Xenopus tropicalis: one gene and its partners. The protein of the gene in region 2 purifies or fractionates together with the protein of the main gene of each other region. This does not show direct contact. Links are inferred from orthologs where the notes say so. Each region holds a gene or a part of one and is shown on either strand. Other genes may lie near its edges. The genes, in order: txndc9, tuba1a, dnajb11, dnaja1, dnajb6, hax1 and bag2.

Region 1 (3,500 bases), about 24 Mb from region 2:
TCCTGCTGGCTGAATTCTCTGGATGAGCTGGGGAGCCGACGGCCCCGTACCCTGCACTGTAGGATTAGAACCAATCAGCAGCTAGGCTAACCATAGGAACTGAAGCTGTCTTTGCTTGTGAGAACAGAGGGCATGTGACCAAGTGCTATGCCAAATCTACTGTGCTTCTGACCAGGATTAAAATAACCACCTGTTAAGAGACCGTCACCCGCTAAAACTCTTCTTTTCAAATCACAGACCAATGATAGATTTATACACATCCAACCATAAGCATAAGGGCACATGTTTACAGATATGCTTGAGCCTCTAAGTTAGGCATAAGTGCAACAGACCGGATACTTTAGCTTCCATATCAGCACTACAAGTCATTACATTTTTTTCCCATTTCCCTCCAATATGTCTAGCCTTGCAAGACCTGGACTGTCACCAGACATAAACAAGATTATAATAAAAGTGCCTTATAACAATTAAAACGAACTGCCAAATGCTTGCTTTGATTAAGTAATTCCAAACGGAATAAAAGGCATTTAAAAATCACAGCTGTCAATAATATACTGCTTGCCCCGCCTCTATGCCTTAGGGTGACAGGTCCCCTTTAAGGCCACTGGGCGCAACATGTTGCTCCTGAGCCACTTTGGTTGGGGATCACTGGCTTTAAAATGTCTCCTAATAACTGTATACCAAGAAACTGCAAGTTTGTGTTTCCTGCCTAGCCCAAATTGTTCATTTTCAATCTTCATGCAGGACACACTGTGTTCCAGGAAACAAATAGGAAAATGCAGTAAACAACATGGTCCCAGCAGCTGAATAATACAACCGAGTGTCCAACCTAATAAGAAGGGAAACAGTCTTAACCACCAATTCACATTTGAAGAAACATTAAGTGGAGTGCCCCCAGTTGGATAACTGTCACTGAAACAAGCTGCAAAACTAAACCTTAGGAAGACAAGTACATATAATTGGGCTTTATACTCCTAAGTACACAGGTCTGTAGCAGAGTGAAGGGCTATAAGATGACCAGCCGGGCCCTAGATTTTAAACCTTGTCAGTCAGTTTGTCTTGGAATGACTGCCTGTGTGATCTATGCTCTCTCTTTCCATATCAAACTAACCAGACAAGTTTTTTTTTTCCCAAAGGTGTTTATTTATTCATTTGTAACATAAAACAACATAAAACATTGACATTGGTTCTACAAGCGTGTTCTTTTCATGCCAGGATATAAGCAGTACATTGGTTTAGATAATCAATAATGTTCTACTCGAGTGTTCAGATTCCTGTTGAAGAAGGGGAGGATTTGGGATTACCAGTGGAGGTTCAAATTCCCAGGGAGGACCATGTGGCATTATTCCATGGCTTCAACCCATGTTCCCCATACCTTGTCATACTTTTGAGGACATCCTCTTGCTATGTAGTTGAGTTGTATCAGTGGCAGAAGGGCTTTAAGTAGATTGAGCCAGCTGGCAATTGTTGGGGGAGAGTGTGCCATCCATTGAAAGAGGATAGTTTTCCTGGCATAAAACAGTAATGTTCTATAGAGGATGCGCAATGCTGATTTGGGAGTAATGTCATCCACAATGCCTTGGGATTGAGTATTTTAGGTAGGGATGTTGTGTTTTGGATATGGTTTAGGACCTGGTTCCAAAAGTGATGTATTTGTGGGCAAGACCACATTAAGTGAAAGTAGTTGGCCTCTGGTGCACATTTAGGGCACTGAGACGAGTTGCGGATTCCCATACGATATAGTCGTAACAGGGTCAGATGGAGCCTGTGTATGATTTTGAACTGGATTAACCTGTCTCTTGTAGAGATCAGATAGTCATAGGCCCTGTCTGTCGCTTCCTCCCAATCTTCACTGTCCAGCTCTGGTATGTCTTGGCAGCAGGCTTTTTGAGCTGTGAGAAAGGGAGATTGGAGGGTGGAGAGGAGCAGGGAGTATAGTGTGGTGATCAGCTTTTTGGAGGAGGGGTTTCAGAGGGTAGTTTCAAGCTTAGTGAGCACAAAGGGAACTATGGTTCTTTGGAATTGGTGTCGGAAGGCCTGTTGGAGTTGTAAGTATGAGAGCCAGGGTAACAGCTCTCCTGTGTCTGTATGTCTAATCTGGTTTCTAGGTAACAGGGCACCAGCATTGGTCACATCTCCCAGTGTACGTATGCCCCAGTGAGGCCACACTCGGTATGGGGTAATTTGTTGGAAATTGGGTAAGTAGGAGTTTCCCCACAATGGCAGGCCCGGGGATAGGATTGGAGATTTCAGTTTGTATAAGTTTAGTGTCGTTTGCCATGCTTTGTAGGGTGTCAGGATGACTGGGTGATTGGTTTGGATATCTGATTATTAACGAAATGGGATATATTTTAATGACATTGGGGTTGGTAAGATCAGGAGAGAACCACCATTGTACATAGTAAACCTGTGCAGCTAGGAAGTAAAATTGCCAGTGTGGAAGGCCTAGGCCGCCTTCTGTAATTGGTGCTCTAAGCTTGGCTTTCCCAATTGATTTTCAAACCGGAGAAGTACCCAAAATGTTTCAGTATGCGTAAAACTGACTGTAGTGAGGCACCAGGGGAGTCAAAATACAATAAGACATCGTCAGCATATAAGGATATACATTCCTCCACAGCCCCTAATTTGAGACCTGTTATGGCTGGATAGAGAGAATTCTGGGGATAAATGTCTGTTTACATTGACTCTTGCTGTTGGTGAACCAGCCAAGTTTTAACCCTGACAAGAGGTTTCTGAATCTGCTGTATTTTTGTGCTATACTGCTAATGAAAGCTGCTTTTCCTTTCAAACTGTATGGTGAAGAAAAAAACTGCATTTAAATTCTGCATACTGCTGCTGTCTGCAAGAAAATACTTTTTTTATAAAGGACATTTAGTGTCCTGACATACTTGCTCTGCCAGTACTTACCACAAGGTCCAATAAAATAAACAGTGGAGTTGTATTATATAGTATTATTTAGAATTAGTTGTATTATAGAGACTTACTTGTTTTTGCTGCTGTGCCTTCTTCAGAGCTTCAAGTCTTCTTTCTTTCAGACGATCCATTTCATCTTCATCTATTTTGTCAAGTTTCTCCAGTTCAGCATCTAACTGCTCCTCCATTATTTTGGCAGTCTGAAGAAGCTGATTCTCCATGACTTTTGCAAATATATCTACAGATGTGTCAGCTGCCATTTTAGTATAGGTCTGAACTGCCAATAAGGAAAAAAAGGTATGGTTGAGTGGACACATATACAATATATCTGGCTGCTGCTGTTCCGTGCTGTGACACATATAAATACATTATAGCATATACTCTGTACTAGGGAAGGCAACCTTCACAATTACAGTTCAAGCATTTAAAATGGTTTTAAATTATAATTACAAAAACAGAGAGCATGATAGTTACCTCAAAAAGGTAACAGGAACAATAGTACCCTGTTTGAGAATTATAAATACTGTAAAGTATTGGCAGCAAAGTTTAAAAATGGGTGCGAATAAAGATGAGGCCTAGGTGACGTC
Region 2 (4,115 bases):
TTGTTTCTTATCATGAGATTACTTTCTTGTTAAATGCAAATTAACTAGCCATTAGATGGTATTTCTTAACCTTTTTGTGGACAGGACCCAGATTCACTCCACACTTCCTTTTTATTTCTATTTCAAGGATTTATTATTTATTCCCTTTCAACAGCAAGGGGCCCAGTTCTGGGTAACAGCCCATAGGCCAAAAACCATTGCATATGTTTGCATAAAATAGGCCAATTTATGGGCAATGGGCAAATTTGGTCCTTGGTGGTAACCCAAAGCAACTAGACAGATATTTGATTTTATTGTTCTACCTGTATCTGGTTGAACAATGCTAATCACTAATTGGTTGCTGTGAGTTTTTACCCAGGTGCAAATTTGCCCAGTGTTGGTAAATGAACTTCAGGGTTACAAATAACTCCTCAATAAATCATAAGCTGCTTAGTAATAAATCAAATCCCAAATACACAGAAAGGAATATCATTTAACCTAGGTAATTATAATTCACATTTCAGAAAGACATGTTCACTATATTCTGTAATATACACTCATTGATTGAATAGTAGTATAAAAGGGTTAATTTAAACTCCTGTTTCCTCCATTCAGTGATCAAGACAAAGACCCATAGCTTTGTGTTGTTTTCTCACCAATGACAGTGGGTTCCAAGTCTACAAAGACAGCCCTGGGGACATGCTTTCCTGCTCCAGTTTCACTGAAAAAGGTGTTGAAGGAGTCGTCCCCTCCTCCAATGGTCTTGTCACTGGGCATCTGCCCATCAGGTTGGATGCCATGTTCCAGACAATACAGTTCCCAGCAGGCATTGCCGATCTGCACACCAGCCTGGCCAACGTGTATAGAGATGCACTCACGCTGTAAGAAAAGACAATTTAATTTTTAATGCGTGAGACTTGACTTCTCTTCCATAGTGTATTGCAGTTATGACTAATGCTAAATTATATTGCTTACTTCAATCACTAAAGCACAAAGTCAGTGCTTTATCCTGATAATAACTGCTTATAAAACAGCGCATGTCGGATCCCCTAGCAGTGCCACACCCACCGCTCGCTGCAGCACAAAGAATCAGACAGCCCCTTGGGAAAGCCATGTCAGTGATGTACGCCTCAAAATGAAGGAATTAACCTTTAAACCATTCTGCAGCTTTTTTTTTTATCAATAATGAATAATTCCATCTCATTCTGTCATACTGCAGCAAGGTTAGCAGGAGGCGCTGTGGGTGTTGCCACCCATTTGCATTATTAGACATTTCTCTCCCCTTCCTCCTCGTCTTGTACATTAGACATGGTGATTTTATTATTTCATTGCCAGTTCCCCTGCCCTCATTTGTCACAGGGTGCTGGGAGTTGTAGTTTAAAGTGGATATAAACCATAGCATAAATTTTCCTCTAATTAAACAGCATAACAACAACACTGCAACCTTCCAATATACCTTAATAACACATTTCTGGTGGTTTTGAAGTTCTTTGTAAATGTAACTGCAATTGAGAGCAGTGTCTGTCTGTCTCTTTCTCTTTACAATGGTGATTCTGATTTTTAAAACACGGCAACCCAAGCAACTGAATAACAGACCTGTGAAAAAGCAGGCAAGGATGGCTAACGCTACCTTGCTTCAACAAACAGAACCAGCAGGGACCAACAAAAGCTGCTTTCAATTAGCAATTACTTTTGGAAACACTGAGCAAATGCAAATATTGAATGAATACAGTATAGTTTTAAGAAATATACTCGATATGGAACATATCTGTTGTAAGAGAGTACTACAACATGCCAACAACATAATATACTTTTCCTTTAAAAATGGGCACAGCCACGTCTGTGCGACTGTAAAACAATGCCTCGCTGCCGACTGTCTCTAGCTTTATGATTTGCTTTTGCCAGGAAAATGTGAGTGCAGCTATGCTGGAATGAATGTGCTTTTACATGAGCAGAGAGATCCTTGCAGTCTGCGTGCTCAGGGCGTGGTATTGCGACCCTTCCAATAGGCACTTACACAGCCCAGCTATCTCATTGGGATTTTAACCCCTTTCATTGTCCAAAAGGGAATAATAATGGGATGGTTGGGGCTGAATAAATCCTATCCCTTTGTTATTCAGTCTATGTTACTTATTATTAATCCAGTGAATCTCTTGCTGACTACATGGCAAGCACTAACCCATTCCATCCCCATCACAAGTTCCAATACCCATGGCAATTATTGCACAGATAAAGGAATGGCCAAACAATAAGGGCTCATAGGGAAAGCGAGCCTCCATCTCACAAGGCAGCATACAGGGAGCGCAGAATAAAGCCATTGTTAGGCATCTGACTCCCACTGGCCATCACCCTATTAACCCTTTCCCTATCACTTGTGCAATTGTAGTTCACTGCAAGCAGATTGTCAGTCATTACTCTAAATGGCACAGTACATAAAGGAATCAAAAGTCGATATCATATACACAGCACAGAATATATGCATTTTCCTTGGGTTCATTCTGATAAAACTATAAGCACAGGAGCCCGGTGTGGCAATAAGAACATATAATGTCTCTGTATAGAACAAAGGCTATTGTTCCAGGAGCATCTAATGACAGGCCATTATCCATCCCAAGCACACACCCGAGTCCCCCTGTGCCTGCCCCCCAGCCCTTATCCAGCCCCCCAGCCCGTATCCAGCCCCCCACTCCTGCTCTTACCATGTTTGCTGCTTTGGGGCTGCAGAGAGGAGAGAAAGAGGAAGGAGAAGAAGGGTGCTTTCTTACAGCGCGACTCTAAGGGGGTCGATGTAAGAGAACCTGCAACACATGGTCCAACGCAGCCCCTTATATACATCCCCGTTGTCATGGAGACCCAGACAGGCATTTCCTTATTGGACCCGACGCTTTCGACTCCCTTCTAGCTCCGGCAGCTGAGGAATGTGATTGGCTGCTGCTGCATGGGATGAGGTAATCAGCCCTACCCAGCTATCAAGGGGCTGCACGGAATCTGGGAGACAAAGAGAATCCATCAACTCATCCCGGAATGTACCGGCCGCCGGTATTCCCTGGGTCCCCTTGGCTTTATACTCCCAAGGCACAAGCATAGCAGAAGTAAGGGCACCTAGTATGTAAGCCTTAACTGCCTTCATGTATATGAATATGGCATCCCATTACAGAGAATGTTAAGTCACATCAGTCTGTGCTGCAGCTGAGCTTACAATCTAACTGACCTACCCTGGGGCTGGGCCTGCACCCTCAGAAGGCTATTAACCTATCAGAATGCTATTAGCCTGGGGTAGGAAAGCTGAGCACCTGTTTGCATTGTGCCACTGCATTTGGTACCCACACAGGAATCCCTCCCATGGACTCAGCTGACTGTATATATTTAGATAGATTTTTGTTTCCAACTACTGGGTTTAATTATACCATATCTGGGCAAAAGCAATGCCCAGGTATATAAATATACCTTACAAGTATATAAATAGAAGGAGACCCCCAGTTCTGAATGGTAATATTAAGCAACACACATATGTTACAATAAGTTGCACCCCTGCCAGATAGGGAAGGTGACAGAGACAGTGGCAGAGTCAAGAGATGAAAGTGCTGGCACTGGTTATAATGTCAATGCCTGAAATATATCCTTAGGGCAGTGATTGGCTTGGGGCTTTTGGCTTCTTTCCCCATATTTGCAGGAAAAAGGCATTACAATATATTTTCAAATAATAATTGCCTAAAGTGATTTCAGGAGAAAACCTTGTGGAAATAATCCTTTACTGGTATTTCCTCTCCATTCACATAACCTGCAATGGGTGCTTTCTTTTTAGTAAGCAAGAAGCGAGGAAGGCAACATGGCAGAAACCACCCCCATCATACCCCCAAGGTTTCTTCAAGAACCAAAAAAATACACTTCTTGCTTAGCATTTACCATAAGAGCAAATAATTACCATTCTTATAAATGATGCTATTTTTGTCCCTTTGTTAATCCTGCCCTAAATTCTCAGTGGGATTAAGTACATCAAAATCTTAGCTGTATGTGTTATGAATGTGACATATTCAGGGCTGCCATCAGGGTAGGACTGAACTCCTCTGCCAAAGGGGTGAGATGTCATGCCAAAGGGCAGAGTCCTGGGAATCGGGTTGGGTTTTGAGCAGGTA
Region 3 (3,500 bases), on a different chromosome or scaffold from region 2:
ATAGGGAGACTTAAGGGCACTATTGAGACAACTGAAGGTATGCCTGCAGCTTGAGATTAACTCTTTATTAGCCTTTCCTTCTCATTAAAATAAACAGGACACATCTGCAAACAGTACATTTCAGTGGCCTAGCTGTCCAGTCTTCTCAGTGATGGTTTTCCTGTAAGGGCCTTCTTAGGGTTTAGGAAGCTGTTTCAGGCACATCTTGCATGATGTCATGTGCGCTATGAAGAGTGCTGCGTTGAAAGTGCCACCAGCCATCGGCTTGAATTGACGTCACTAGAAGTTACAGGAAATGCTACCACTTACTGAATAGCATTGTGTGGTACCGTAGCCCTGGAAATTCCGGCATTACTTGTCATGTACAATGTACTGCTCAGTTATATCCCTGCAGGATAACAAGCTGTGCAAAAAGTTGCACTCTGCTTGTACAATGAAAGTTTCCAGTTTTATTGTCATATACAAATAACAATGAAGCATCATTACTATAATGAAATTATTTTGACCCGTGTTCCTCCCAACTTTACATAGACAAAAAAAAATAAAAAAATACAAATATTAAATATAATAAAAGTGTGCAATAAAGGTACAAGTATTTACAATAAAAAAATGCAATGAAATATTTGAAATTGTGCAGTGAGGATTTAAAGTGGCTTTGCTTAAAGTGACACTGCAAAGAGTCCAGTAGTTATGGGGAGTGTGTGTTAGGCAGAAAGGTATATCTGGATCTGCCCCAAAGAAGCATGGCCTTAACATTCGGATTGGTTGCCTAATAAAAAGCATAACAAAATCTGCCTCACATCCAATTTACTAGTTAGAGCTGCATTACTGCAATAAACGAAAAAAGGCTTCCAAGCACTCCAAACCTTCCAAATTAAAACAGCATCTTTATTAGTCCATTAAAATGTGAACGCCTAAGTGAGCTGCATTACTGAAACCAGTTGGGTGATTCATTGCAGTAGGGCTGCACCCTCTGATTCTCAGTAACCTAACTAATATTAAACATGTTACAGCCTCATGTGAGTTCTGCTTGCTAGATTGTTTCAAATAAGGAGGGAAATAAATTGTTCAGACAATCAGCATAACCTCCCAAGATCTAAAATTACATTTTCTATGAAAGGTAGTATCTGTCCTCTACCTTCTAGACAGGACAAAAGAGAAAACTGAACTCAGTAGGCAGAGTACAACCTTATACAGAAGGAGGACTCCTCTTTGATTCTTCCGTCTTGACTCCAAAGGTCAAGGAATACTAACATCTGAAGGGCCACTCAAAAAAAAAAAATTAAAAACAGGCAATTTAAAAAGATATATTAAAAATGTATTAGTTATTTATTAATATTGTCCCCAATATCCCCCAGTCTAACTTGGGCTATCAAGTAGACAAATTCGGTGAAATTAAAAACAAAAAAAAAAGACAAAATATAATGTGGTCATTTTTGAAAGAGTGACTGCAATTTGAAAGAGGTGGCCTCTAGACAAAGGCTTCAAAATGGTAAATGGCTCTATCCTCTGCATTGTTTTGTTTCTGTTCTGAAGCTAAATGATCAATAGTCAGTTACTAGCTGAATAGTCGAGCTCTGTAAACAGTAGCTTGAATATTAGTCAAGGGCAATCTGCCCAAATAAAATTCCTAATAGCCATTTAAAACTATGCAATTCCGTAATCTTTTGGAAGCTATGCAAGAACTCCTAGTAAAATTATTACTCCTACAAAAGCACACACATTTTTGGAAATTCTTATACATACTTATATCATTTTAGCATTATAGGCTAAAATATGTTTAGTATACTGTAAGAATAAATTAATATGAAATTCATTACTAGAGTCTAAATTTTCCAGTGTAAATAAAAAGAAAATACAAAACAGACTGTAATGTGCATTTATGATAAATCCCACATTTGTTTATTCAAAAATCACTAGCAAAGGCAGAAAATAAAGAAAAAAAAAATACCTTGTCGTTGCTCCATCGTTAGCTGTTCTTTTGGGAATTCAACATCAAATGTTATAATTAAAGAACCTTTTATGTTGTTATTGTCAAAGTTTGGCAAACCTTCCCCTTTTTTCCACAATTTTGCTCCTGGCTTAGTAATTTTATCCCGCAATATGTGAACCTGTAAATAAAATAAAAGGCTTAATTTTTTTTTAAAATATAGTTTTTTCCTATAACAAAGATAGGAATAACTTCTGTGTTGCACTAAACCTTCTTAGTGTGCTAGTGCAATAATTTTCTGGTTTATATTTCCATTATATTATTGCTGGCATAAGACTGATATTACACTAGGAAATAGATGGTCATTCTTGAGGTAAAAAAGTACAAAGTGTCAAAGTCTTTTTGTACTGAAAAAGTGTTACACTTGATTTCATAATTTATTTTTATTTAACCTTTTCATTGCCAGCTAATTTATGGACATTTGCAATTAATGGCAACTAATTTTGTGCCTTTAAACTTAGCTTAAACTTAGTAGCGTTTCCTGGGACTTTACTAAGGAAGATACCTGAAATTTTGTGAAATTCAACTTAGTATTTTGCACAATTCCACTTATATATTTAAAAATTAAAAATGACAATTTAAAATATACATAAAATAAATATAAATATATCAGAAACACTTTATTATATGAATGAAAATATAACAAGTGCTCTCTCAAGCAAGCCAATATCAAATATGTTATGAATATTCAAACCAACAAAATTTGATAAAGTTAGCTGTTTCGAATTCTATTTTTTAAAGTTTGACACCAGTTATATGTATTACAAGTTTATACAAAAAATTTAATTGTAGGTGTTATATATGTCCATTTATAATTAGCATAATTTATTTGCATAATTTATTACCATTTTTAAAAAAAATAGTGTTCAAATGTATAATGGCTAATGCCTCTGATGAAGCAAAGGGGCCTAACAGAGGAGAGAAGAGTGAGATATGCGTGTGTTCCCTTAACTTGTGTAAGTAAAACGGATTGCATTTGGGGTAGGTGGGAGCTATCGGTGCTTTGCTATAAGTGGTTTCTATTTAGGTGCAACAAAGCTAACTTATATCTAAGAAGATTGTGTAAGGAGATATGCATATGTTAACACAGAACGCTCTAAGAATAAATTAGCATGGGGTAGCCGCTTCCTCCTACTTCATGATTATGAGCATAATCTTTACTTGCATCAGAGAAGAGGAAAAAGCTGTGTATCAGAGTGCATCCACATTTAAAACTTGGTTGAATTAGAATTCCTCTAGTAATGAAATTCTATGATTCCCAAATAATTACATTTAATGTTATCATGTGATACCGTTTCATTTTTATAGCCACTTTCAATATATACGTTACTATGTACATGTTGCAGTCTCCCCAGTTCAACTATAATCACGCAATGACAAGAGTCATAAATATCAAACACCAAAGACAAAGAGCAGATTAGCAATTTTAGAAATATGAAGTATTATGCAAAGAGTAAAGAAAAATGTTATGGTAATCTAAACAGTAAATACATGGCAATCCTCATTTGGT
Region 4 (3,500 bases), on a different chromosome or scaffold from region 2:
AGAAAAACAGAAAATGAAATGAACATGCATTATACAAATGTGCTTAAAAATAGCTGAATAGGCCAATATCTTAAAAAGTACACCAAAATGAAAATTCTCATCTGCCATTTATTTCTTTTGCCATTAACCATGCTATATTTTGCAACAATCTGGCCTATATTATTCAGTGAGACCTTAGAGATACATATTTAAGACACAGAGATAAATATTTATGACCTACCTTAAAGTCTTTGAAATAAAACCGCACCAATTTAAAAAATTTTTTTTTTGCTTTCCATAGCATGGCAATAAATTAGTTAACACAGCCCATTAATTTCTACGTTGCCTGTTTCTACTGCACCACACTAATCCATTAAACACAGTTGCGACGCAACAAGCAGCATTTCATTTGCATCTGGCATTTTAATGCAGTGTAGTGGGTACAATAAAAAATGAATGGAATGCATGTTAAACCACCCATGTGCAAGAGCCCTAAACCAAACAAACATGACAGTGTAGCGGACACTGTATATTTGACTAAAGTCCCATTAGAGTGTTCTCTCAAACAGACACTCAGTGAAGCATCTCATATTTATCATGTGATGTCACAGGGTCTTATCTACATCCACTATTAAAAGCTGCCAAGACCCATGATATTACCCTATTTTTTTTTTTTTTTTTTAAGAAAGTATTATTTGAAAATGTAAACTGCTTAATACACAAATTACCTTACAGTAGGAAAACACATAGCAAACAGTGCAGTTATTGTGCCTAGGTTGACCTTTATGATGGCTAATCAATAGCATTTCATTATGAGAGACACATACCCTTGTCAATATGAACTTCAAGAATCTTCTTCTCTCGGACTATCTTTCGCCCATTGCAGCTCTTACACCGGTCCTTTGGATTGATCCTCTCTCCTTGTCCTTGACACTCTGGGCATACTGACTGTATCTGCTGAACCATTCCAGGTCCTAACTGGTGGATTCTAATCTGCATGCCAGTGCCCCTACAATTTGGACAGCATTCTACAGCCCCTTTTTTACCTCCACGACCTAAAATAAAAAAATAAAAAGGTGAATTATTAACAGACGCATATATTTGCTGGTCCTTATTTATCAGAACGTTACATCAAAGTGCACGTTTTACGCTGATGTATTAGTATAAACAACTGGTCAAATTAGTGTACCAAATCAATAAAATTTGGATTCAGTCAAATCCTCTACAAAAAACTGGACTAAATACCGCATCCAAACCAATCTGAATAATGACATTTTAGAGATTTAAAGAATGTATTGTTTTGGCTGAAAACTTAAGAGTCAGCCTGATCCAGTGCATTAACAATTAATATCAAATGATCAAACTTAAACTTAAATTGAAAATAAATGTAACATTTAAATAAATTGAATTACAAACCTTCACACTTATCACAGATAGTATTCTTCTGCACAGCAAGTTTTCTTGTGGCACCATTATACAAATCTTCAAGGGATACAGATAACTGATGAACTACGTTTTTACCTGCAAACAAATATTTAGCTTAAGTTAACATTCATTACTGATATTTAAGAACAATTTTAACAAAGTATTTTGGACTAGGCCTTGTGCAAATGGACAGCCACTTTAGGTTATCATGTCTACCGGACTTTGCTCAGACAGAAGAGTCTTGGCTGCAATGCAATATAACAGAGCATTAATAAAAAAGGGGCATACTGTATATACTCGAGTATAAGCCTAGTGTTTCAGCACCCAAAATGTGCTGAAAAAGTCACCCTCGGTTTATACTCGAGTCGGGTGCCATGGGCCCCTCCAGACTAGCACCCTCTCTCCTTTATGTGCAAATTAGGCCTCCCACAACCAGACCCTCCAGTGCCCTGGCCTAGGCTCCCACTAGCAATACTTATTTCCCCTTACATCACCTCCGGGACTGGGTCTGCTGCCAGTTTGCCAATGTGCAATGAGCGTGGGGTAGTACTCATATTGTTTTTGTTGACCCTCTTCTCCGCTTACAGAGCTAGTTTACTGTTTTTCTTTGAAATAAATATTGAAATACATATACCCCACTGATGCCTCAATTAATGTAATTTTATTGGTATTTATTTTGATTATTAAAACTTAGCAGTAGCTGCTGCATTTCCCACCCTAGGCTTATACTTGAGTCAATGCGTTTTTCCAGTTTTCTTAGGTAAAATTAGGTACCTCGGCTTATATTCGGATCGGCTTATACTCGAGTATATACGGTATATTTAAATTTCTAACAAAACAGACAGAACAGGGAAAATGGACCTAAATGTGTGAAACTGTTAGAGGCAAGGGGTATTACTATTACCTCTTCTCTCTCGTTGCATTCTTCCACCGCCACCAAAAAACATGTCAAAGATATCCATTGGTGATGCAAAACCGCCACCTCCCATGCCTCCCTCTTTAATTGCCTGTTCACCGCCTTTATCATACAAGTCTCTTTTCTTGGAATCAGAGAGCACTTCATAAGCCTGGGAAATCTGTTTGAACTGTAGAGAAAATACATTTTAAATCACGACTCAAATGCAGCATTTGTATGCTACTTGGGACTTTCCAAGGGCTCTTCATGGGTATAACTGATAAGCAAAAGAAGCTATAGTTAAAGATGGTGTATCATACTTAATAGATATTAAGTGTCCCTCTAAGATTAGGGCCACATGGGCCAAACATGGCCTTATCAAATATTGTCTGCTCGAGCTAGAGAAAAAAGTATCATGTCTTTTAAAACTTTTTCCCATTCAACAAAAAGTGTGATATTCAGTTTGTTGACATCAGTCAACAAATGACTCAAACCACTGGGAACATATTTGAAATTTGATTACCCAGAACCAAGTGATATAAGATTAACTTACACCTTAATTTAATTCCTGCATGTGCAGGATCTGTATCACCATACTGAAGAAATATGTTAGTATATTAAGCACTTTCTATAAAACTGCTGCACTATATTATAAACATACCTTTTCACCTTCATTGGGATTCTTGTCTGGGTGATACTTGAGGGCAAGTTTCCTATAAGCCTTTTTCAGCTCATCCGGAGTGGAATTTGGCTTAACTCCCAATATATCATAGTATGCAGTTTCTACCACCATTTTCAGTGTGGCTGGTAGTGGCAGATTTCCTTAAACCTAAGTTATGAGGAAAAGATTGTTATTTAAAGACTAAATATTTAATACATGTAAACATGTGTATTATACTACACACAGTTACCATCATCTTCTTCATCTTCCTTCCACCTCCAGTGCCCTGAAGGGCAACATCCCACACTAGTTCAATACAATCATATATTTTATAACTAAATGCAATGAACTGAATTCAAGGCAAGGTGGAAGAAAATAGCAGGGGTGACGCAAGATGTACTAATGTAAAAGTGGTTTCATGTTATTGACTCCATTAAATCAGCAGTTTCCCCACTTCTCTTTTGCAAACAATGACTGGTGGTAAAACAAATTACCAGTCCACTGTAAGACCCCTGTATAATAACCTGCTCCTAACCTCAA
Region 5 (4,297 bases), on a different chromosome or scaffold from region 2:
AAAGCTCTGCCTTTTAGGGCTATGGTAGCCATGATGCAAATTTTAAAGATAAATAACGGTAATGGGTAATTTTTCGTTCTTGGAACCTTAAAAAAATGGCATCAGTAGCAGGAATGTTAAATCAAGACACACATAAAACATTTGCAGATGTCTGTGCATTCATTTATCCCTTCATTGGACAAAAACTTGAGTGTGCAGATAAAGGAGTATTGCATCTCTGTACCCGAGTCAAATGGAGAGAAGGTAGGACCAAAGGCAGGGAAACCTCCAAACGTAGAGAGAAAGGAACCCCCTGGCCTGCTTCTGTTTGCTCTGTGGCCTCTTCTGCCAAAGAAGTCATCAAATGGATCGTCAGCTGGAAGAGAAACAGGATATAAATTACTCCCTGACACCAGTAATATAATAATACCTGTAACATTACAATCCTTAACCCGGCAGAAACATCTAAGATTAAAGAAAATACAAATATGTGCACTATACCAAATAAATCAAATGAAAATGGGTCTCTTCCCCCAAAGAAATCCCTGAAAACATCGTCTGGGCTTCGGAATGTAAATCCAAACTCATATGGATTATCAAAGTGACTGCCGCCTAAAATAAAAATAAGAAAGAACCTAATTAGCTTGAAAGATAGAAAAACGGCATTAGTTGTTCTTAATATAAAAGGTAATCAAATACAATTAAGGTTGCACATAGTACAGGGATATAGAAGCATGGAATATTGTGGTCTCAAGGAATTTCTGTGGCAATCTGATAGAACTCTTCGCACTGTGTAATTAGGCTTGGACTGCAAGAAAAGGCTGCACACTGTAGCTGGGTCTCAAGTGGCAATTAAATAGAGCACATTAGGGTCTCTAGCCAACTAGACGGCCCTGAAATGGATCTAAGTTGCATGGAAGCATAAATGAGGTATAAATATAGCGTTAAAAGTTTAAAATGAAACTAGCACTTACCTCCACCACCTGTCAATCCTTCTTTTCCATATTTATCATAAATATCCCTCTTTTTAGCTATAAGGGAAAGAAACAAACAAATATAAATAAATAAAATACAAGCCGTTTAGTCTAAGTGGAGTTAGCAAATCATTTCAGGATACAATTTCACACAGTCTCTCTCTGAGGCAGAACATTGTTGTGATGTATTTGTGTGTCTCCCCAGCAGCTGGGGACAGACACGGCTATAAATAAGCAATGCATTCCAACACACGAGGGCCAGGCTCAAAAGTGCCTCGCCGCGTCCCACCAGCCTCAACCAAACAAAACAACAGATCAGTCTAACCTGCTTACTGGACTAAGACAAAGCAGGAAGTGGTGTACTTCTCCTTTAAATAGGCTGCAAAAGCCGCTCTGACACTTTCTCCAAGCAGTATGACGGCTTAGCTACTAACATGACGTTTGTTATCTAAGTTTTATACCAGTGGCCAGCACCTTATTATGAGTGTAATACCCACAACAATATAGAAAACAAATTAACAAAGGATCCTTCAATAATCTACTTTTACCGTAAACCCCTTTTCAGCAGAAAGGGCATAATGACCATTTTTTTTAAAGAAGAAATGTAGGATAAGTGAAATCCCCCCTCAATCTTTTAGGCAATTATGAATAATATATGGTGCTTAATTCTATCTGTGGCCCCTTTATTGGAGCTCCTTATAGATCCTCTCAGGTCCCTGCCGGTGTTTCAAATAAAAGGTGGGTGTGTCCTAATCGTCCCTGGAGGAAGCACAGCCAACCACAGCCCTGCAGTCACACAAGCAAAGGCAGGGTTTAATTCTGGTTCCTATCCTACAATGCAGTGTGCCGAGTGCCGCCGGCCCCCCTGCACAGCCTGGGAAAGGAGGCAGCAGGGAGTGGAACAGATGGGCGGGACTAGTGGGGTTTTTGGAGAAATTTTCAATAAATCCACCTGAAACACAACTTTTTAAAGTACATTCCTTCTGTATTTAGAGGAGCATAATGCACTACCACATTCTTGTTTTTTACACAATATGTCTCCTTTAAATTCATTAGCTCAGTCAGTGATTAGTATGCTTAAGCCAAGCCTAATTATAAATATTGATAGGATCTATCACTCGTGTCAGCTGAATAACGATCATGCCATATATGAAAACAAACTCCTTGGGCAAATCGGGCGCCTAGTAAGGAAACAATTACAAGCCAAGGAAGTTGGAAGAGTCTTGGGAAGATACTTACAATCTGACAGGACCTCATAAGCTTCAGCAACTTCTTTGAACCTCCTCTCGGCTTCATCTTTATTGTCGGGGTTCTTGTCTGGGTGCCACTTTAAGGCTAGCTTGCGGTATCTGGAATACAAGTTGATTGAGAATAGGGTTTAGTAATTGGTATTGAAATGCAACATTAAATGCAACTTTCAAACTGCAAATAAGGTTCCGCCACACAGGGTGTTCCATATCTTTCCTCTAATTAATCCTTTCCCAGCCATGTTCTCTCATGCCTTTTATGTGCCTCCTCATCATCGTCATCATCATCAATCCCTCCTGAGTGGAAACCCCCATCAGCCTGTGTATGGAGCTGTCACACAATGGCCCAGTCATATCCTCAGCGTCAATTTAGAGAAATGGAGGGCACTCCTGGCTAAAATATCCTTGCCAAAAAAAATTTTATATACAAAAAAAACAAAGTATAAAGTATCCAGGTGCTATGGTTTTAATAATCCCCCCATAAGAGTGGATATCCTCAGCGTCAAACCAGGGAATACTTACGCTTTCTTAATATCTTCTGGAGAGGCGTTCCTCTGGACTCCCAGGACATCGTAATACTCCACCATGGCTCAGTAATGTGATGTAAAGCCTGGAAAGAATTCATAATGGCATTGAGATGACAAATTCAAATGCAAGCGGAATATGATAAGAGGTAGGTAAATCAATTAGAGAGTCAGGAACACATTGCAAAGATAAAGGTACTATTAATGCAAGAGTATCACAACATTTCCATTTTTTATTATTCTGTTGAACCCAAGCCTAAGGCCAGTGGCACATGTATCGCTGAAATATGCCAGTCAAAAATGGCCAGATACATCTCTGTGCCACCTGTTATGTAGATGAATGGAAACGGTTTGTCCCCAGCAGTGACAGGTAGTTTCCATTCATCTAAATGGCATGACGTTTCTCCACCAGATAAAATACTTTGGCTAATACTTTCTAAAACTCGCCAAGCAAGCATATCTTCTCCCGATATCCCCACCTATGGGTGGGCAATATTGGGCCAATTTGGTCGTTTGGCCCTGGGGCCAATCGATCAAATTAGAACGGCAGGTATAGGCGCCATCGGATTGGGGACAGCATCAACGAGCTGATGCTGTCCCTGATCCAACGGAAAAATCAAACCTGCCCAAGCGAGATCTGCCCGATTTCAGGGCAGATATCGTTGGGGCAGGCCCATCGTTTGTGTCCACACATGGGCAGATAAGCTGCCGAACTGGTCTAAAGGGCCAATATTAAAGAAAGCAAAAAGTATCTCCACACTCAAAACCAATAAGTAAAAAATGAAATTTATTCAATACGAAAAACACATCATAGCAAGTATAGTCAAACGCATTTCAACCCATCAAGGGTCTTCATCAGGGGTAAAAATTTTAAAAAGATATTGGCAGCTAGAATCGGCCCGTGTATGGCCACCTTAAGTGTCCAAAGCTTACAAATGTTAACCTGAAAATCTGTTAACTGTTACTAGTTATCTTGTTTACCCTTTTAATTTGGCTCCCTAGGAGAGCCTCTCAGTCAAAGCACTGGAATATTACACCAGGTGCTAAATCGCAGGGAGCACAATGGAGGAGCAGTGGGCAGAGGGGCAGCCTGAGACATAATTATGGTGAGATTTAGGCTAATTGCCCATTAATTGTTCTGGACAGCCCAAGACATAGAACTAGTAAGCAAACTTGATTACGCTGTCAATTGTCATGACAATTTACAGAATGGAAATTTGGAAACAAAAATTGAATATATTAAAAATTTAAAAATCCTGTTTTTTTATAAGGTGTTCGGACAGTAGATGTCATAACTGTATGTAAAGCAAAGCAGCTGTAGAAAAGTAGAAACAATGGCTCTCTTAGCAGTGATGGTAAAAGCAAGCCCTCCAGCTGCTGATGAGATATAACTATCTATTCTTGTCCTAACCCATTTCTGAAAAATTTAAAGGGGAACTCCACCCAAGCACAATATAATTTCAAGCAACTTTGCAATATAGATCAATTAAAAATATGCAGTGTTTTCATGATTTGTTATGTAATAATGTTTTTAACAGTTCCCTAAGCCCCGCCTCCTGTTCCCCTGCTGATC
Region 6 (4,130 bases), on a different chromosome or scaffold from region 2:
TCCCCTTGGTTGGGAATGAGATGTTGGGCAAGCAGGTGTAGGGGATAATTGTGCCCATATACTGTATATGTGAGCGGTACTTTCCTTATCTGTAGCTACAATCACATAATACCTTCCAAAACCCTGACTGGCTTTTGGAAATGGAGAGGTTGATTTATATAGTGGCTGTAGCTACACGGGGACAGAAGGGTTAATCTATCCTGGCTCCCTAAATGAATTGCCTATTAACAAGCTATTAATAAATGGCTGCTGGGTGCTTGGTTTGCCAGTCCTGCCTCCATCTTGCCCCAGGAGGGGCCCCAGCTGCCAGCCACTCCCACTATTGGGCACCAGTGTTGTACCCTGTGTGTGTGCTAGGGAAATGATGGACCGGACTGGGCCGCCGGGACACTGGGAAGAATCTGAGCCTTGCTGGTGCTCCCCCTGCCCGACTGTTCCTCCCCTGATGCATTAAATGTACACACTCAGGGGGGGCCCTGCTAGGGGGGTTAGGGGGGGCCCTGCTAGGGGGGTTGGTAGTAGTAGAAGTGTTAGTAGGAAGGGCAGCCACTGGGGACCATTAGGGGCCAAACACAAGTTAAACACTTAGGGCCCCAGTTCTGTATTACATTTTGGTTTTCAGAGGCCCAGCAAAGACTGAGCCCCCTACTTACCCCCTCTAACCCACCCCCCAATGGCTGCCCCGGCAATAGGAAAATAGGCACAGTTCTCCGAGGTCCTTGCCGTGGAACGTTCTCTGCTGCTCAAGTACTCCTCCTTGGCGGTAGGTGGATCTTGGCTACAAAAGGAGATAAACTGCCATTAGGAAGTGTGTTGCTGCCACTGTAACCCCTGCCCCTGTAACCCCTGCCCTGCCCCTGTAACCCCTGCCCCTGTAACCATTGCCCTGCCCCTGTAACCCCTGCCCTGCTCCTGTAACCCCTGCCCCTGTAACCCCTGCCTGGGAAGTGCCCTGCAGTAATGCCTTAATTACCCCTAATTATCCTTAATTAATTATCCTTAGCCCCCTCCCCTGATCCCTGTCACTTCTATTAAACACACACAGGGGGCAGTTAGTGCCCAGGGCTCATATATGATGAAATCCAACGGCCTTAGCCTGGTAGTTTAGTCTTATCTCTCCAATAGAAATGGAAGGAATCTTGTACAGTTCATCAGTATAAGCGGAGCATTTAATTTCCATGTTACTTTCCCTTTAATAGGAATCGCTCACTAGTTACACAAGCCCCGCCTCTATACTGAGCGTCATCAGCGGAGAGCAGCGGCAGTGGCTGAGGAATGGGGGGGCGTGTCCCACAGGAGCCAGAGCGGAGGGCGGAAGAGCTTCTAGTTCTAAGCCTGGATCCGGACGGAAGTGGGGCGGTAGCGGTGCCGGAAGTGGGGCAGGGTGAGAAAGTTCCAGCTGCTGGATGAGGTGACAGGGGGACATGAGCCTGTTTGAGCTGTTCAGGAGGTTCTTTGAGCCGGGAGGGATCAGGTAATGGCGCCCCTAGAGCAAGGACTGGGGTTCCGTGTGTATGTGCGGGTATATTCCCGTATATATATATAGCTCTGCCCCCAGGGCTGCTACATAGGGATACCATGGGGGGGGCGGGCTGGCCGCAGGGGCTGCTGGGAATGTTCAGCAGTAGTTGGGCTTTTGGTTGATAGTTGCAGTTGAACAGCAGTGATATCTGTTGGGTTTGGCTGAGAGTGGGATGCTGGGAATTCTGGGAGATGCACCCCAATATCTGGGGGTCCCTAATGGCCAATCACTTCACTTATTCCTCTTATACAGAAATGTCACAGTAAATGCAGACTTATATATATATATTTACTTGTATTATTGGCATTCTGGGTCCGGTGCGACTCCCCCCACCCTGCGGCCATATATGGCTTGAGTGACAGCCCCCTGTTCAGCCAGCACCTCCCCCCTGCTGAGAAGCCCCGCCCCTACTTCCCAAGGCCAGGGAGTAGCCACACCCCCCAGCTCCCCTACTCCCAGGGGGCAATGTGCTCAATGTCAAGACAAATTGGGGGTCCTGAGTTCACCCTCAGTTTCAGCCATGTATGGGGGTACAGTAACGGGGGGGTACAGTAACGGGGGGGGTACAGTAACGGGGGGTACAGTAACAGGGGGGTACAGTAAGGGGGGTACAGTAAGGGGGGTACAGTAACGGGGGTACAGTAACAGGGGGGTACAGAAACAGGGGGGTACAGGGTTCCTCCCTCCCCAACTGCCCCATCTCAGCTCATTCCAACTCTCTAGTTTGGCTGCTGATTGATCATAGCACTAGTGTAGCATGAGAGAAATACCAACAACATGCATACAAATTAAAGGGTAAGTTAACAGCTGTGCAGAAAAATACCTAGATTTATATGGGGAGAAGGGGCTAGAGCTGTGCCTATAAGGTTCCAACTGAATGGCTCCCCTCTCTGCCCCCTTCTAATGCCCCATGTTGTTCCAGAGACCCGTTCTTCGGCGGGATGACCTACGATGAAGACGACGACGATGATGATGATGAGGAAGATGCAGACATTGGTCATCCCTTTGGTCGGCCTCCTGGTTTCAACTTTGGATTCTCGTTTGGACCCGGACGTGACCCGATGGCCGACGTCTTCGGTTTCGAAGAATTCTTCAGGGATTTCAACGAGCTTTTTGCAGATTTCGGATCAATGACTCGAGTGGTTCCTGGTAATTTTGGGTCAGAACCTCTGTGCGGGGCAGGTGTAACTGCCATAGGGGGGCACAACATTCCTTAGGGAGGGGGCAACAAGGGTAACCATCTTGGGGGGGAACCTCAGTATGTGGGATCTACTGGATCAACAGAATATTAATATCTGGGGTACAAATGGGTGCAACTGGGGTACAGCTGAGATCTGGGAGTAGGATTGGAGGCATCAGAAGTCATTGGCACAACCGTGTTCTTATTTCCCCTTTATTATATTCCTATAGATCTGCTCACAGCTGGGTAACTAGGAGTAACATGTTCTTATTTCCCCTTTATTATATTCCTATAGATCTGCTCACAGCTGGATAACTAGGAGTAACATGTTCTTATTTCCCCTTTATTATATTCCTATAGATCTGCTCACAGCTGGGTAACTAGGAGTAACATTCTTATTTCCCCTTTATTATATTCCTATAGATCTGCTCACAGCTGGGTAACTAGGAGTAACGTTCTTATTTCCCCTTTATTATATTCCTATAGATCTGCTCACAGCTGGGTAACTAGGAGTAACGTTCTTATTTCCCCTTTATTATATTCCTATAGATCTGCTCACAGCTGGGTAACTAGGAGTAACGTTCTTATTTCCCCTTTATTATATTCCTATAGATCTGCTCACAGCTGGGTAACTAGGAGTAACGTTCTTATTTCCCCTTTATTATATTCCTATAGATCTGCTCACAGCTGGGTAACTAGGAGTAACATGTTCTTATTTCCCCTTTATTATATTCCTATAGATCTGCTCACAGCTGGGTAACTAGGAGTAACGTTCTTATCTCCCCTTTATTATATTCCTATAGATCTGCTCACAGCTGGGTAACTAGGAGTAACATGTTCTTATTTCCCCTTTATTATATTCCTATAGATCTGCTCACAGCTGGGTAACTAGGAGTAACATGTTCTTATTTCCCCTTTATTATATTCCTATAGATCTGCTCACAGCTGGATAACTAGGAGTAACGTTCTTATTTCCCCTTTATTATATTCCTATAGATCTGCTCACAGCTGGGTAACTAGGAGTAACATGTTCTTATTTCCCCTTTATTATATTCCTATAGATCTGCTCACAGCTGGGTAACTAGGAGTAACATGTTCTTATTTCCCCTTTATTATATTCCTATTGATCTGCTTACAGCTGGGTAACTAGGAGTAACGTTCTTATTTCCCCTTTATTATATTCCTATAGATCTGCTCACAGCTGGGTAACTAGGAGTAACGTTCTTATTTCCCCTTTATTATATTCCTATAGATCTGCTCACAGCTGGGTAACTAGGAGTAAGGTTCTTATTTCCCCTTTATTATATTCCTATAGATCTGCTCACAGCTGGGTAACTAGGAGTAACATGTTCTTATTTCCCCTTTATTATGTTCCTATAGATCTGCTCACAGCTGGATAACTAGGAGTAACATGTTCTTATTTCCCCT
Region 7 (4,162 bases), on a different chromosome or scaffold from region 2:
TCGTTAGTGCTTCCCTCTGGCCTGCTACATCTCACCCTTTACTGGTTTCATGTTAGAGGATTATTGCATAGAATTATGCTAGGAATGGAGATAAGGAAGGTTGCTGCCAAACAATTAAAGGCAAACATGAGGGAAATAGTTATGTTTTAGCTCTATTTTCATTACAATCTAAGTTTTAGTTGGTCTTTACAGTTTAAAGTTTTGCTCCTGCTTATTGTTTCAATTACAAAATGGAAAAAATGTTCATGGATCACTCCTCTGAAAGACCCTCTCCCTTATTTGTGTGAGAACAATCAGCACAAACGTGGGGAAGGTCTAATCATACAGAGTTTGTACACAAACAGTACACATCCTATTCAGCCATGGCAGCTATGTGATGTGGATTGATTCCCACTGACATGAAAATTAAGTTCCACATTACACATTTACTGCCAATTACTGTGCAAAAACGTGTACCAAATTAGCCTTAGGTTGGTGCTACATTCTGCAAGATAGTGCTGAGGATTAGAGCTCAGGGTAATAATATACAGGTGCCTTCTGTGACTTGTGGGGACTTTTTAATTAATGAGAACAGCTATGGGTGTTTCAGATGTGGAAATAGCCTGCATGTGTCATTACACTGTGTGCCATAGCCTGTGGTCATCTGTTTAAAGTTGCATCAGAAGTGGCACAGAAATACAGAAGTGCAACCTCATCATGTAAAAAAACTGCATGCATGTTTGCTCAATAATAAATATCACTTGGGTTGAAAATACATTGTGTATTGTTTTAATTTAAAAAATCCATATTTTCCTAATTCTTTCCTACTATAAAGTACTAATGGAAAATTATGTTTTCTTCCTCTTGTAAATAGGGTAATTATTTTAAATGGAGATAGAGGTTTTTTTTTTTAAATCCTTCATAAGCTGCAGCCTAATTATAAGTAGCAGTTCAATATGCTAGTAATTTGTTCTACTATTTACTTCTTCTCAAACAGTCTCATAAGCCCAGTGTATTGGGGTTAACTACAACCCAGAGCTGAGGCAAGTAGTGCCTCCCTTTAGTTCCAACTGATAGTCTACTGTCTAGCCAGTCTACTGGCTTAAACACTGAAACTTACATTCAAATATAAGGGTATTTTTTTTGAGGTACACTACCCACTTAAATTATACTAAAATGCACCTTGCTCCCTATAACTATAGATCAACTAAAGACCCAAACTATCTATAACTTTGGTATTTGTTATTAGAGGGATGTTTTCCAAAAAGCAGTGGTGTAACTATAGAAGAAGCAAACCCCATGATTGTGACCTACTTATTAGCGAGCAGCGGGGAACGGGGGACGCAGTGCCAACTGGACCCCTCTATGTAGTGCAGTGACTAGGGGTGTACCTACCAACATGTTTGCATCTGGAAATTCAGTCCCAGAATCCATCACTGAATGAGGTAATGGAGGGGTTGCCTTGGTAAATGGTTCTTACAAATAACATAGCTTCCCTTTCAATCTGTAGAATCAGTGAGATTAACCTGTGACATTACTTTTACAAACTATATAACTGCAGCCACTCAACATTTAACCACCTGGCCCAGTTGGGTACCTAGCAAAAATGTAGTGTATAACCAGGGCTGCTGGCAACACATGACTGTCTGTGCAGGGCACTGCAGACTGTGAGTGTCCATCAGTAGTTTATTGTCCTCTGCTCACAGCAACTTGAAATGGGAAAAAATGTATATCCTGCTGATTTGCCAACAATACCTGCCTCCACAAAGCCTCTGCTTCCAATATTAAAAGTAATTTTCTTAACTCACCATAGCTATTTATTGTGTCAGGTAAGGGATAATTCACTTTTATTCCTGATGAGTTGCCAGCTATACCTACTGCCACCACAGCCTCCTGCCTTCTGTCCACAATATTTCACCAAAAGTGCAATCAATCTTTTTTTTCTATTCTAAGAGCTCCTACTTGCGCCAGGAAACAATACACACTTTATTCCTGGTGATTTGTCCCTGGCCAATATTTGACCAAAAGAATGCATAATCTTTTTTTCTCAGCTCAGAGCTCCAACTTGTGCTGGGAAACAAAAAAATATGCCTACTTTCTGGTAAGTTTCCTACAGTATCCAGAGCCACCAAAGCCACTGTTCAGTTGGGTTATATATATATATATATATATATATATATATATATATATATATATATATATATATATATATATATATATATATATATATTACACAAATATATGGCATTCCACAGACTGTAGAAAACTATTTTCCTACAAAATAGGAACAAAACAAAGGCTAGGCCAAAAGTACTGTAAAGATATATCGACCCTGGAGCGCAGAATATAGTTTTGCTGCCATATGACTTTGTAACAAGTTGACTTTTGCTTATGCTTTTCAGTCAGGCTTTCCCTCAGTAGTGCATATATATTGGGCAGGACTGGGAGATGTTATACTGTATGTATCCATAGGGAACACGTGTAGTCAGGCACCACAGGGCAGGGCAGCAGGCAGAGCGCACAGTAAGGGCATACACAGGGTACATATTATAGACATCATTCTGCTCGCTTCCTTACCTGACTTCCAGATCGTCCAAAATCTCTAACAGGTGGTTGGATCGAGCTGCCATAGAGACAGAGCGGCAGAACTTGCCTGCATTGTGCCCTTCGGTGGCTGCCTTTGCCTGGATTTTAGCCTGAGCCATAATAGCTTGCGGACTCTCCCTTCCACAGAAAAAGCACAACTGAGCAACAGAGGACAGTGAAATGCTTAGATCTTTCTAGACATCTCTCCCTCCTCCTCCTGCACTCTCACCGGGATAGAACAGCAGGATAGTGTAACATTGCCTAACATGGGCTTGGGCGGCTCCCGGCCCTGCACTAACTGTCAGCTGCTTCACTTCCCTGCCCCCAGCTGCAGCTCAGCTGCCTAAGGGACTGATTTTATGGGGCTTTGGGGGTCTCGAACTTCCCTAACCTGCTTTCCCTGTTGTTTATAAACTGTGCTTACACCCCTCCAGATGTTCAATCACTCATTCTCTGCTGCTGATCATATATATAATATAATGTACCTACTCTCATTCAACTGTTCATTCACTCACTCTACTGCAGATACACTGCCTGTTCTGCTCATATTTACACTGTACACTCAAACCATTCATTTCATTTATAGCCTACTGTATGGGTCCTCCCCAACCAAGGGACAGAGCCTGCTTATATTAAGGGTGAAGACACACTGGGCTACTAGTAGCAGATATTTTTTCTCAGCTACTAATCTCCAGAAAATACCCTGCCATAGACAATACTGAAAATTGCCTCTGCTAAAACACACGTAGAGACGGTTATCAGTAAATGGTCAGCATTGTCTTTTAGTAGCCAGAATGATGATATTGTACGAAACCTCATATGGGAGGGGGGTTATGTGAGTCGCAAACACGCATGTGCATGGGGAATAGAGATGTAGCGAACTGTTCGCCGGCGAACTAATTCGCGCGAACATCGGGTGTTCGCAAGTCCGCAAATTCGCGAACTTTTCGTGATGTTCACAATTTGGGTTCGCTGGCACCGAAAAAATCGCAAAACTTACAATAACGTTACGAATGCTCCGAAAAAGTCGCAAAACTTACGATAACGTTACGACTGCTCCGAAAAAGTCGCAAAACTTACGATAACGTTACGAATGCTCCGAAAAAGTCGCAAAACTTACGATAACGTTACGAATGCTCCGAAAAAGTCGCAAAACTTACGATAACGTTACGAATGCTCCGAAAAAGTCGCAAAACTTACGATAACTTTACGAAAGCGCCGGAAATTACGAAAAAGTCGCAAAATTACCGATCATTTCGAAAAACGGCGTGTGTCAATTTTTCAGAGAAGTTTTTGCCCTTGATCCCCCTCCTGCATGCCACTGTCCAGGTCGTGGCACCCTTTAAACAACTTTAAAATCAGTTTTCTGGCCAGAAATGGCTTTTCTAGGTTTTAAAGTTCGCCTTCCCATTGAAGTCTATGGGGTTCGCAAAGTTCGCGAACAGGTTCGCAAACTTTTTTTTTGAGGTTCGCTACATCCCTAATGGGGAATTTAGGGCCACCCCACCGCACTGAAAATCAGCTGCAACTCCGGCCATTGCAAGCTTCACTGGTATTTTTTTCTTATTAAGGGTAATGGTACATGGGAAGATTATCA

Evidence for each region.
Region 1: the proteins of tuba1a (region 2) and txndc9 purify together in Homo sapiens (affinity purification with mass spectrometry; 3 studies listed by BioGRID and IntAct, counting the BioPlex papers as one, with this or other methods). This does not show direct contact. The link is inferred for Xenopus tropicalis from reciprocal best matches to the Homo sapiens genes TUBA1A and TXNDC9.
Region 3: the proteins of tuba1a (region 2) and dnajb11 purify together in Homo sapiens (affinity purification with mass spectrometry; 3 studies listed by BioGRID and IntAct, counting the BioPlex papers as one, with this or other methods). This does not show direct contact. The link is inferred for Xenopus tropicalis from reciprocal best matches to the Homo sapiens genes TUBA1A and DNAJB11.
Region 4: the proteins of tuba1a (region 2) and dnaja1 purify together in Homo sapiens (affinity purification with mass spectrometry; 3 studies listed by BioGRID and IntAct, with this or other methods). This does not show direct contact. The link is inferred for Xenopus tropicalis from reciprocal best matches to the Homo sapiens genes TUBA1A and DNAJA1.
Region 5: the proteins of tuba1a (region 2) and dnajb6 purify together in Homo sapiens (pull-down; 3 studies listed by BioGRID and IntAct, with this or other methods). This does not show direct contact. The link is inferred for Xenopus tropicalis from reciprocal best matches to the Homo sapiens genes TUBA1A and DNAJB6.
Region 6: the proteins of tuba1a (region 2) and hax1 purify together in Homo sapiens (affinity purification with mass spectrometry; 3 studies listed by BioGRID and IntAct, with this or other methods). This does not show direct contact. The link is inferred for Xenopus tropicalis from reciprocal best matches to the Homo sapiens genes TUBA1A and HAX1.
Region 7: the proteins of tuba1a (region 2) and bag2 purify together in Homo sapiens (affinity purification with mass spectrometry; 4 studies listed by BioGRID and IntAct, with this or other methods). This does not show direct contact. The link is inferred for Xenopus tropicalis from reciprocal best matches to the Homo sapiens genes TUBA1A and BAG2.

What each region holds. Positions count from the first base shown.
Region 1 is NC_030678.2:112,718,293-112,721,792, reverse strand, and holds part of txndc9 (thioredoxin domain-containing protein 9), read right to left. Parts: intron 3,191-3,500; 5' UTR 3,174-3,190; coding exon 2,985-3,173; intron 1-2,984. UniProt on the Homo sapiens protein: Significantly diminishes the chaperonin TCP1 complex ATPase activity, thus negatively impacts protein folding, including that of actin or tubulin.
Region 2 is NC_030678.2:136,579,030-136,583,144, forward strand, and holds the start of tuba1a (tubulin alpha-1A chain), read right to left. Parts: upstream 2,801-4,115; 5' UTR 2,682-2,800; coding exon 2,679-2,681; intron 859-2,678; coding exon 636-858; intron 1-635. UniProt on the Homo sapiens protein: Tubulin is the major constituent of microtubules, a cylinder consisting of laterally associated linear protofilaments composed of alpha- and beta-tubulin heterodimers.
Region 3 is NC_030685.2:43,617,859-43,621,358, forward strand, and holds part of dnajb11 (dnaJ homolog subfamily B member 11), read right to left. Parts: intron 2,112-3,500; coding exon 1,952-2,111; intron 1-1,951. UniProt on the Homo sapiens protein: As a co-chaperone for HSPA5 it is required for proper folding, trafficking or degradation of proteins.
Region 4 is NC_030677.2:94,448,240-94,451,739, forward strand, and holds part of dnaja1 (dnaJ homolog subfamily A member 1), read right to left. Parts: intron 3,129-3,500; 5' UTR 3,093-3,128; coding exon 2,961-3,092; intron 2,490-2,960; coding exon 2,309-2,489; intron 1,501-2,308; coding exon 1,396-1,500; intron 1,035-1,395; coding exon 807-1,034; intron 1-806.
Region 5 is NC_030682.2:17,674,951-17,679,247, reverse strand, and holds the start of dnajb6 (dnaJ homolog subfamily B member 6), read right to left. Parts: upstream 2,801-4,297; 5' UTR 2,788-2,800; coding exon 2,723-2,787; intron 2,303-2,722; coding exon 2,193-2,302; intron 1,011-2,192; coding exon 954-1,010; intron 592-953; coding exon 481-591; intron 356-480; coding exon 224-355; intron 1-223. UniProt on the Homo sapiens protein: Has a stimulatory effect on the ATPase activity of HSP70 in a dose-dependent and time-dependent manner and hence acts as a co-chaperone of HSP70. Plays an indispensable role in the organization of KRT8/KRT18 filaments.
Region 6 is NC_030684.2:143,242,656-143,246,785, reverse strand, and holds the start of hax1 (HCLS1-associated protein X-1), read left to right. Parts: upstream 1-1,330; 5' UTR 1,331-1,424; coding exon 1,425-1,474; intron 1,475-2,207; exon of another isoform or gene 2,208-2,279; coding exon of another isoform or gene 2,280-2,317; intron 2,318-2,444; coding exon 2,445-2,671; intron 2,672-4,130. UniProt on the Homo sapiens protein: Recruits the Arp2/3 complex to the cell cortex and regulates reorganization of the cortical actin cytoskeleton via its interaction with KCNC3 and the Arp2/3 complex. Slows down the rate of inactivation of KCNC3 channels. Promotes GNA13-mediated cell migration.
Region 7 is NC_030681.2:95,344,876-95,349,037, reverse strand, and holds the start of bag2 (BAG family molecular chaperone regulator 2), read right to left. Parts: upstream 2,801-4,162; 5' UTR 2,685-2,800; coding exon 2,557-2,684; intron 1-2,556. UniProt on the Homo sapiens protein: Co-chaperone for HSP70 and HSC70 chaperone proteins. Acts as a nucleotide-exchange factor (NEF) promoting the release of ADP from the HSP70 and HSC70 proteins thereby triggering client/substrate protein release.